Schizosaccharomyces pombe: one gene and its partner. The protein of the gene in region 2 interacts with the protein of the main gene of each other region in a pairwise test. Each region holds a gene or a part of one and is shown on either strand. Other genes may lie near its edges. The genes, in order: get3 and syp1.

The links.
Region 1: the proteins of syp1 (region 2) and get3 interact in a two-hybrid assay, tested with the Schizosaccharomyces pombe proteins (2 studies listed by BioGRID, with this or other methods).

The regions. Positions count from the first base shown.
Region 1 is NC_003424.3:3,634,809-3,638,890, reverse strand, and holds get3 (GET complex ATPase subunit Get3), read right to left. Parts: upstream 1,882-4,082; 5' UTR 1,790-1,881; coding exon 800-1,789; 3' UTR 501-799; downstream 1-500. Other genes in the region: ESCRT III complex subunit Vps32, read left to right, coding at 1-120; Cu transporter complex subunit Ctr5, read right to left, coding at 2,605-3,126. UniProt on the Schizosaccharomyces pombe protein: ATPase required for the post-translational delivery of tail-anchored (TA) proteins to the endoplasmic reticulum. Recognizes and selectively binds the transmembrane domain of TA proteins in the cytosol.
Region 2 is NC_003423.3:3,123,181-3,128,446, reverse strand, and holds syp1 (cytoskeletal protein Syp1), read left to right. Parts: upstream 1-1,725; 5' UTR 1,726-1,745; coding exon 1,746-1,787; intron 1,788-1,828; coding exon 1,829-4,243; 3' UTR 4,244-4,445; downstream 4,446-5,266. Other genes in the region: DNA-directed RNA polymerase I complex large subunit Nuc1, read right to left, coding at 1-548; tif306 (translation initiation factor eIF3f), read left to right, coding at 4,641-5,266. UniProt on the Schizosaccharomyces pombe protein: Multi-functional protein that contributes to the endocytic process, but also to events that occur at the neck during cytokinesis.

The DNA of each region.
Region 1 (4,082 bases), on a different chromosome or scaffold from region 2:
CACACTCCTGCTGTTCCTGCTGTCCCGTCTCAAGTCAAAGACCTCCCTTCTATTTCAAAGCCTCAAGAATTGGATGAAGAAGAAGAACTTCGAAAACTACAGGCTGAATTCTCTCTTTAAAGTGACCAGTACGCTTGCTCGGTATTTTTATTATTTTCTCAATATGTTAAAGTCATCTTCTAAGGTTTCTGTTATAACTTATGGAATTATTTAATTTGTCAGTTGTTAGTATTCTATGTTTTCCTTGTTATGAGTCATCATGGAAGCCTAAATACAAATTTTATGTACAATACCATTATTAGACTATAACTTATAGGTCTCCGTCCTCATGTTCGGATGTGTGTTTTTTCATTGTATTTTAATAATTGGTGTAGTTAAATAATCTACGGAAAAACTAGCTGAAGAATTTTACATATTACGTCTTCTTCATTCTACTAAAACAACTGTATCAAATGACTGTTAGTTCAAGTTAACTTTTTAATGTTTTGAGTTATTCCAGACACGTTCATATCTTGTCAAATTGATTAATATTAATCTAAACAGTGTGCTCAGAATCCTGTTGTGTTTAATCATTAAACAGTGTATCAACCTAGCGCTTTTGGTTTATTTGCTTTGGCAAATAGTCAAGCTCAACTGAGGAAACGATAAGAATTCTTCAACAAAATAAAAGTAATGTAAAAACTTAGAAACAGCCATTCTAATATGCATATTCAAGCTGTCAATCAATTTGTTAAAAAATATACATTTAGAGGCTTTTGACACCCTTATTAACAGCAGTGGATAAGATTGAAAAAATACATTATTCTTTGCCAGAAGTAGGATAAACGTAAGGCTTGACCAACATCTCAGAGAAAGACTTCAAAGCTTCAGTACCGCGAACTTCAGCTGGAACTTGCGGTACTTTGACAACATGAAAGTCTTCATAGAGCTCTTCAATTTGCGCCAAATATTTTTGTTGCATTTTTCTTCTAGCCATACACTGGGGACAAGTGGTGTTGGGATCAAGCAAAAGTTGGTTAACAACGATGTTGTGAGTATCAATTTCATAACTAGTAAGTTCTTGAATCATTCTTTCAGTTTCATAAAGAGAAAGGAACTCGGAAATACATACACACACAAAAGTAGTAAGATCTGGATTCTTAAATTGCTTGTTAACTTCAGAAATATTAGCACGCATGCTTTCCATCTTTCCAAATAGATCTTGTTCATTGGCATTTACACCCATTATGCTACCCATTTGGTTAATCATAGGGCCAAATCTACTGGAGAGACCGCCAAGCTTGCCGAGAGCTTTTTCCAAAACAGTTGGAAAATTCAAAAATCTTAACGTATGTCCAGTAGGAGCGGTATCGAAAATGACACAATCAAATTCCATAGATTTGATCTGCTTAAGGATTTCAGCGAATGCCAATGCCTCGTCGATACCTGGTATTGTAAAAGCCAAATCCTGCATCATTCCAGATAAAGGATTATTGGGATTTTGTTGGTCAGCTTGCTCTGTCATTTCCTGAATGGATAAATTAGGATCGATCTCCATGGCACTCAGATTATCAAAACCAGGAACCTTACGAGCGTCTTTTCCAAATTTCGTGCCAAAGGCATCAGAAAGATTGTGAGCAGGATCCGTGGAGATAAGTAGAACAGAGGATCTAACTTTTGACATTTGAATGGCCAATGAACACGACGTAGTTGTTTTTCCTACACCGCCTTTTCCTCCTACAAAAATCCATTTTAAGGAAGTTTGCTCAAGAAGGTTTTCTAAGGTTCCAGGCAATGGGTCGAAGGACATTTTACTTTATTAGAGAATTTTTTTTTTTAATCTGAAGCTAGTCTTCTTATAGACTCTCGTTGACCAGATGCACGATGCGATATGCTGAGGATAGGTGTTACGACAGTTTGCAAGTGAAAATGAAGATCCTAAGTACGCGGCAGATCAGTTCCCAACGATCAGAGATAAAAATTTAATTAAAGACTTAATAATTGTACATTGCAACTACAATTAATAGTGTATAGCATGTTTTGTTCCTATTTTTGATACGCTAGCAATATAACAATTAAGTAAGTTTTTTATCAAGGATTCGTAAAGCCATGCTAGTAGAATGCTAAATACGGTATGCTGAAATTTCATAATTAAAAAAATTCCTTTAAATGGATTTTCTAATCGTATAATATGTTTTGGCCTGCTGAAGCTCGATTACCATATTCGTTATAAAGAAAAGAACTACATGGAATCATTCAACGTAAATCAAGGATCAGAGCTACAGATGTTTGTTGATGACTAAAGCACTCACAAGAAATCAAGGAACAACTTTGAATCATACTGAGCAGAGAATATACTATTTTGTACCATCATATAAATTTGCATCCATATCAACAACATATTTAGTAAACTACCAGTTTTTGCATACCGATAGAGGAGATATATTAAACTGAATTAAAGAAAAAGTTATTATTTCTAAGTCTGAATATAATCCCTGATAAGCAAACAAAGAAAAACATAAAACACACTATCGAAACCCAACACCAAACAAAAACAATCGTAAAAAGTATTAATAGTACATTAAAATCGGATCCTTATGAATACCCCTGTACAATTAAATATGACTATCTTGATTCGCAGCATCCAGTACCAGTGGATGGGGTTCCATAAGTATCACTCGCGAAAAGGAAAAATCCTATCCAAGCACCTACGAAACCGAACAAAATGGCATATCCGTTAAACGACATTACAATCAACATGAGGATGGTAGCGGACAAGTAAAACGATGAATACATGGCTGCTCGTATTAGTTGTTGCCAGACAGTAACATGCACAGTGGAACTTGGAAAGAAGATACGCAGAGGTCCACTTAAAGTTTTGCCATTAGAGTGAGCAACAATCCAGCGATCAAACATTCTTTGAACGAGGGACAAACCTTCAATAGCGACGGCGAAGAAAAAAATTCCAATAATACTACCGGCGAATTTGTTTCCAGTGTTGATATGCCAGGATTTAGCCAGGAAACACGAGTCATGTATATACCAATTCCATAGCATACTCATGCGACATGTCGCAGCACTCGAGTTACTGGAGCTACCCATACCCATGCCACTCATGCCACTCATACTCATCTTACTTAAGCTCATTTTGTTGCAAGAAGCGTTAGCCAAATATTGAGAAGTATCTTAGGTATCTGTCAATAAAGGATAAGAGCCGATAAAAAGAAAGAAAAGAAGACACTCAATGGAAAGCGTCTTAAACTAAAATAACAAGTATAACCGGAACAATGCGAAAACAAATGTCTTTTGTTGAAAGTAAGTTAATAACACTAGTTTTACCACCTTTAAGCGAAATATCTCTCTATGAGCTGGGCCTTTTTCGCAGACAGACAAAATGTATAATTTAGCAACTTCTTACTGCTACCTATACACTTGAATTAGAATGATCACTACAGGTTTTTTTCAAGTCCTGAATGTTCAATTAAGCTGAACGCTCAAATATCGCTTCAAAGTGAACGGGGGTAGGATTACCTTTTATAGCAGTTTAAAAGCATCATCTACTGATATGCGACTTTTTCTCCTTTGGGTAAAAACTACCAGCTATAATCGCTCAGCAAAATTCCCGCCAAATGGTGATTAAGGTATTGCGGCGGGTCGCGTTAATCGAAAAGAATATAAAAATAAAAAAAAAAAGCAAAATTAATTAATTAATTAAATCAAACATACAAAGGAATTTGGATGAATATGAATATGTAAATTTTAATCCCGGTGATGTTATCGTATACATTAAGAGTTACAAGAAACTCCAAAAAAAATAAACAAATGAGGTTTGCCTAAATTGATATTCAAATACGATTTTCGTACGTTGTAAATAGATATAAAAGTAAAGTAAGATTTGTATGAATACAATAACAATTAAGATTCTTCTTTTGATTAAAGCACTACAGGAGCATTTATACACTTAATTGGTTTAATTATTTGTAGAAGATAATTTATAAATAACCATGCAATGTCACATTAATTTAATTTAGCTGCTCCTTTTAAAATTTTTTTTTTAAAACGATTATGATTTTAAATTCTTTTTTTATTCTTGACATAATTGC
Region 2 (5,266 bases):
TCGCGAATGCGCATAAGTGTTGCAGCATCTTTAGCAATATCATCGTGTCCAAGACCACTGTCCTCGCTGTCACTTCCATCTTCAAGTGGAGTGCCGTTAGAATTCTTTATGATTGCCTCAGTAAGACTGACATTCTCCACCATCTCTGACTCATTTAAAAGACCATAATCAAGCAACTTGAGTCTACAAAAGAAAAGATGAACCTTGACTTTTGAAAGCTTGAAATGATGGCAGTACAAGCAAGTTGAACGTAATAAATTGTACATTTGAGAAAAAAATAGAGGGTGATATGCAGGAATAGGAAGTACTATATGACCAAAATGACCAGGGCAGTATCTTTCATCCAAATGACATGTAGCGCAAACAGAATTTTTTAGATATGGACCCAAAGCAAGGTCATATAATCCGCCGTTAGTAGGGTGATTTAAATTGTCAAGCAAAACGGGATTTACGATTTGTTTGACGGATATTTTTTCGACATCGTCAACATCGTAAATCCCAAACTTCACACTTTTAATCTCCGAAGAGACTGGCTGTGCAATATTCATTGTACTATTTTGCTTTTGTATACAACCGGCACATGCAATCCGCCCACAGACCTATTTGGTTCTGTATGAAAAGAAAATTTCCTTAGACTGTAATTTGCTAAAGTCCGGTGAAATGCGTTACAATGTGCATAGCTGTGAAGCTTCATTACTTATTTTACAGCGCGTTATATACAATAACACACGTAAAATTTTTTGGTAAACTACAAATTAGATATTTTAGCGCATCGGTAAATTTATAAACAAACCGAAAAAACCGGATTATTGATGCTAACACGTTACGATGTACTTTCATTGTTACACGGTTAACATATTGACCACTTAAACCATGGCATTATGGTTTCATTGTCGTAATAAAAATAAACTGGAGTTATTTAGAGAATTCGTACTGTATGCGAGTGGAATGTTGGTATCAATCAACTGACTTTCGTTGCTTACATTTTATTAGACTTCACTTCAGATAAAGTGCCTTAATAGTCTAACATGTGTTAGGATTTCTGATCTTGGTCTCTCTTCATTTTTAAATTTAATTGAATTAAAGCCATTCTCAATGTTTTCTGCTTACTTACCTTAAGTAGCGAAAGAAAACTTTCGTTTATAAGCACTAGTTAGTAAAATTCATCTATGGTAACAATATGGGTTTACGAACAATTATTCATATTTTTTGTTGATTTTTGAACATATCTCCTTCTTTTTTATACTATGGAAGTTGTTACTGACTTTTTCTCTGCTCAAACGTATGTTTTCGAAAGAATAGAAAAAGGTGCGATAATAGTAGTGAGAACTCAGATTTGAAATTAGCGTATGTTGAAGGCTTAAAAAAATTGAACGTTTCAATAGATTTCACTACCTATATGTTTTTATTCAAAAACTTGTGTTTTTTGAGAAATCGTTAAGCGGTTCGAATATGTGTTGGTATATTGGGTCACTTTTCAATTGAAATATTTTTGAGACTAATCCATAGTATTGAGCAGCTAACTAGTTAATAATCGATTAATTTATTTATGCATATTTCGGAAACATCGATATTGATGTATGTAGAAATGAAAATTTTGCCTTATTAAAAATATTTTCTTATGTCTTCATAACAGCCATCTAATAGCAATACTAATCATCCTCCATAAACAATTTGTTTTGCAATTTTGGAATAAAGTGTCATGTATCGAGTCGCATTCCCCCTACACTAACCACCACCACGCCATGGAATCATTGACGAAAACGGAGTATGTAGATGCGTTTTTGGTAAGCTTTATTTTAGCTATTTCCTTCTTATTAACAAATAGTCAAACTACTCTCCAAACGACAGCATGTCGATCTTTCGACAGCGCCTAGAGCAAGTTCGCCTAGACAACGACATGCTTTCGCAGTGGATTCGTGAGCGAATGGATATTGAACGGCAATACTCAGATCAATTACATAAGCTTGCAATGAACATGCAAGAAAAAAACAATTCATCGTTTGCTTTTAATTATGCTTGGAAACAGCTCGAGGGAGAAACCCTTGAAATTTCAAGATATCACAGTCAAATCATTGGACAAATAGCTTCGCAAGTTTATAAACCTTTGATAGATTATTATACTTCTTCACCACAAACGGCTACGCTTAGACGTTTAGCAGAGCGGTTATCAACAGTTGCAGAGGAGATGGCATCGTCTTCTGTACCTGGTCTGAAGGGATTAAAAAAAAAAGGCCGTGATGCGGATACTAAGAGTCAGAATGATCTCACTGCTTCTCGTGCAACCTGGGATTCCGATGCTCCTTTAGCGTTTGAAAAATTGCAAATTGTTGACGAGGAACGCCTCCTTATATTGAAACAAGTTTACCTGACAATTGCAAGTTTGGAAACTGATACGGCTCTTAAACAGCAAGAATTTTTTTCTAAATCTATGGCAGTTTATTCTGATCTACCTATTGAAGGTGAAATCCGTCAATTCATGAACTCCACATCGAAAGTTATGTCTTCCGCATCTGCTAATAAACCATCTAAGTCATCGGGCTTTCACATAAACAATGGAAAATCTAAAGAGGAAAAGAGTCATGGAGAAAATGAATCTGGTGGTAAATTGAAGAACAAAATGTCCACGTTGTTTCGTCGGAAAACCATAATGCCTAAAAAGGATAAGAAGCCTTCGCATAAATCTAATGGTCGCCCTAATAAATTAACTGCTTTTTTTAATAAGAACTCCAAAGCTTCGAGTATTTCGTCTGCTGAAGAACACCCATCGAATATAGATGATAGTTCAATCGAACGAAGACATTATGATTCCAATCATTCTTCACAAATTCGGGATCATCCCTCTACTAATAATAACGCTTCGTCTTATCAAAACTTTAATGAAACTTCCGACGAGGGCGAGGACAACGATGCCACTATTCGTGCAAACAATGTTCGCTCATCCTTTTTGGAGGCTCCGCTACCTGTGCAGCCTAATGTTCAAGCAGAAACGGTTACGCCTAAGATTTCCTCCAAGGCTTCCCCCTTTAATAAACCCAATTCTGTGCACTCTGAAGCCTCAAGAAATACCCCTTCATCGATCGATAGAGAGAATGCATCACATTCGAATCCTATCATGATGCATGGCAATGATTTTGGTGGGAACTTTAACAACATGCAATCACGATCAACAACAACGTCTCCCACATCAGCGGTGGCTTCCCCTGCGCCTACTGAAAACGAGGATAGCAATGCTGCAATTGAAAGGGTAGCAAATACTTTACGAAAGAATCCCACTATATCAAGAAGGACCCGTCGTGCTGGGACAATGGATCGTTATGCTACAGCATCGTCTGACTATATGGAATCAAACCTCGGTAGCTTGCCCAATTTGTCTACTTTATCATTACAATCGGGACCAGACTCGACTGCAACATGGCACCCTGAGTTCCCAAATTCTTCCGGGCTTTCTGCTTCAATCGTCGAAAAGTATTCTGGTGAATTATCTGAAGATGGCCTTCTTCATCCTTCCTGTTCCGGTCATATATTCATGAAATATACCTCGGATTTTAATACCCCTCCTCCTGAAATGGGTGTTCGCGTTGCGTCTGAATTTCCTATGTCTTTTACTCATTTAAATGACCATGCAGTAAAATATGGACCCTCAGAAAACACACTTTCTTTAATACCAGAGCTACTTCTCTCACCAATCAAAGTCACTGATTTTAATCTACATCTTGATAGTATTAACGGTGCTAGTTGCATTCCATTGACAGTTGTTCAGAAATGGAAGCATGATGAAAGCAGTAGTAGTATGATTGCATTTGTGAAGCCTAATCCTGTGTGGAGGAACTTAGGCTCATCTCTTCATATTGAAAAACTTGTTATCATCGTTTACTTGGGGGAAAATGTCCTTGTAAAAAGCTGTCAAAGTTCTCCGGCCGGAGAATTTAGCAGGAAAACTAGTAAACTTAAGCTACATCTTTCGAACATTAATATATCTTCGTCTGGATTTAAAATTTTAGCCAAGTTTGCGATTAGTCCTAGTGCTGCTATTAGAAAGCCAGTTATCGAGTTCCGTATTCGCATGGTTGATTCCTCTAATAACCCTGGTCTCACCAAATTGTTTTTGAAACCAGATATGTTTGATACTACTTCTTCTAGTGGAGGTTCTCAGCTAGAAAGTGCTTATGAAGAAACGAAGGTTCCTACTTCCTATGGTATTCATGTTCGTGAGTGCTCTGTTTTTGCTGATATGAGTTAAATTACTGTTCATTATTAGTCAAGAAAAAGCAAACTGCTTTTTTGGGTTTTATGTTTACACTTTTTTGCTAACCGAATTTTTTGAACATTGTATATATATATAAATGATTTTTAACCAGAGAATGTACAAATGTAAATAGTTATAGAATTTTGAATAAAGAGTTTCTCATTATTGTACGTACAAATGAGACATTGTTAAGGAGATTTTTTAGATTATTCAACGCAACTGAAAATACACTTTCTTAAATGGTAAACCTTAGAAGTTAGGCGAAAAATAGTGTCTTCAATTTAACGAATTCTATGAGACTGTAAACTAGTACAGTAAAATTATTATTGATTGGGGAACAATACCAGATCTACCTACCTGAGAGTAGCCAACAACGTGAAAATTTTAAAAAATGGCTTTGGGGACTAAGCACGTACTCCATCTCACAAAACCGTCTTCCAGGTCAAGTCCTTTGAACATTGTCATTGAACCAGCAGTGCTTTTTTCTATCCTTGACCATTCAACCCGGAAAAGTGAAAATAATCAACGTGTTATCGGTACACTTTTGGGAACACGTTCTGAAGATGGCCGAGAAATTGAGATTAAAAGTTGTTTTGCAGTTCCTCATAATGAGAGCAGTGAGCAGGTAGAAGTTGAAATGGAATATCATCGTGCGATGTACCATTTACACCTCAAGGCTAACCCTCGTGAAGTTGTCGTTGGTTGGTATGCTACTTCTCCTGATTTAGATGCTTTCAGTGCACTGATTCAAAATTTATATGCTTCTCCTGCTGAACCCGGAACTGCTCCACTAGGAACGTATCCTCATCCCTGTGTTCACCTTACTGTCAACACAGATGTTAGCAGTCCCCTTGCCATCAAGACTTACGTTTCTTCACCAGTAGGTATTACAGAGCGCCTTGCTGACAGCTGTGCATTCGTCCCTACCCCTTTTACCATTCGTGATGACGAGGCAGTCCGTTCTGGTTTGAAAGCTGTAGCTGCTCCTAAGAATGACCCATCTAGACTTGCTAGCCT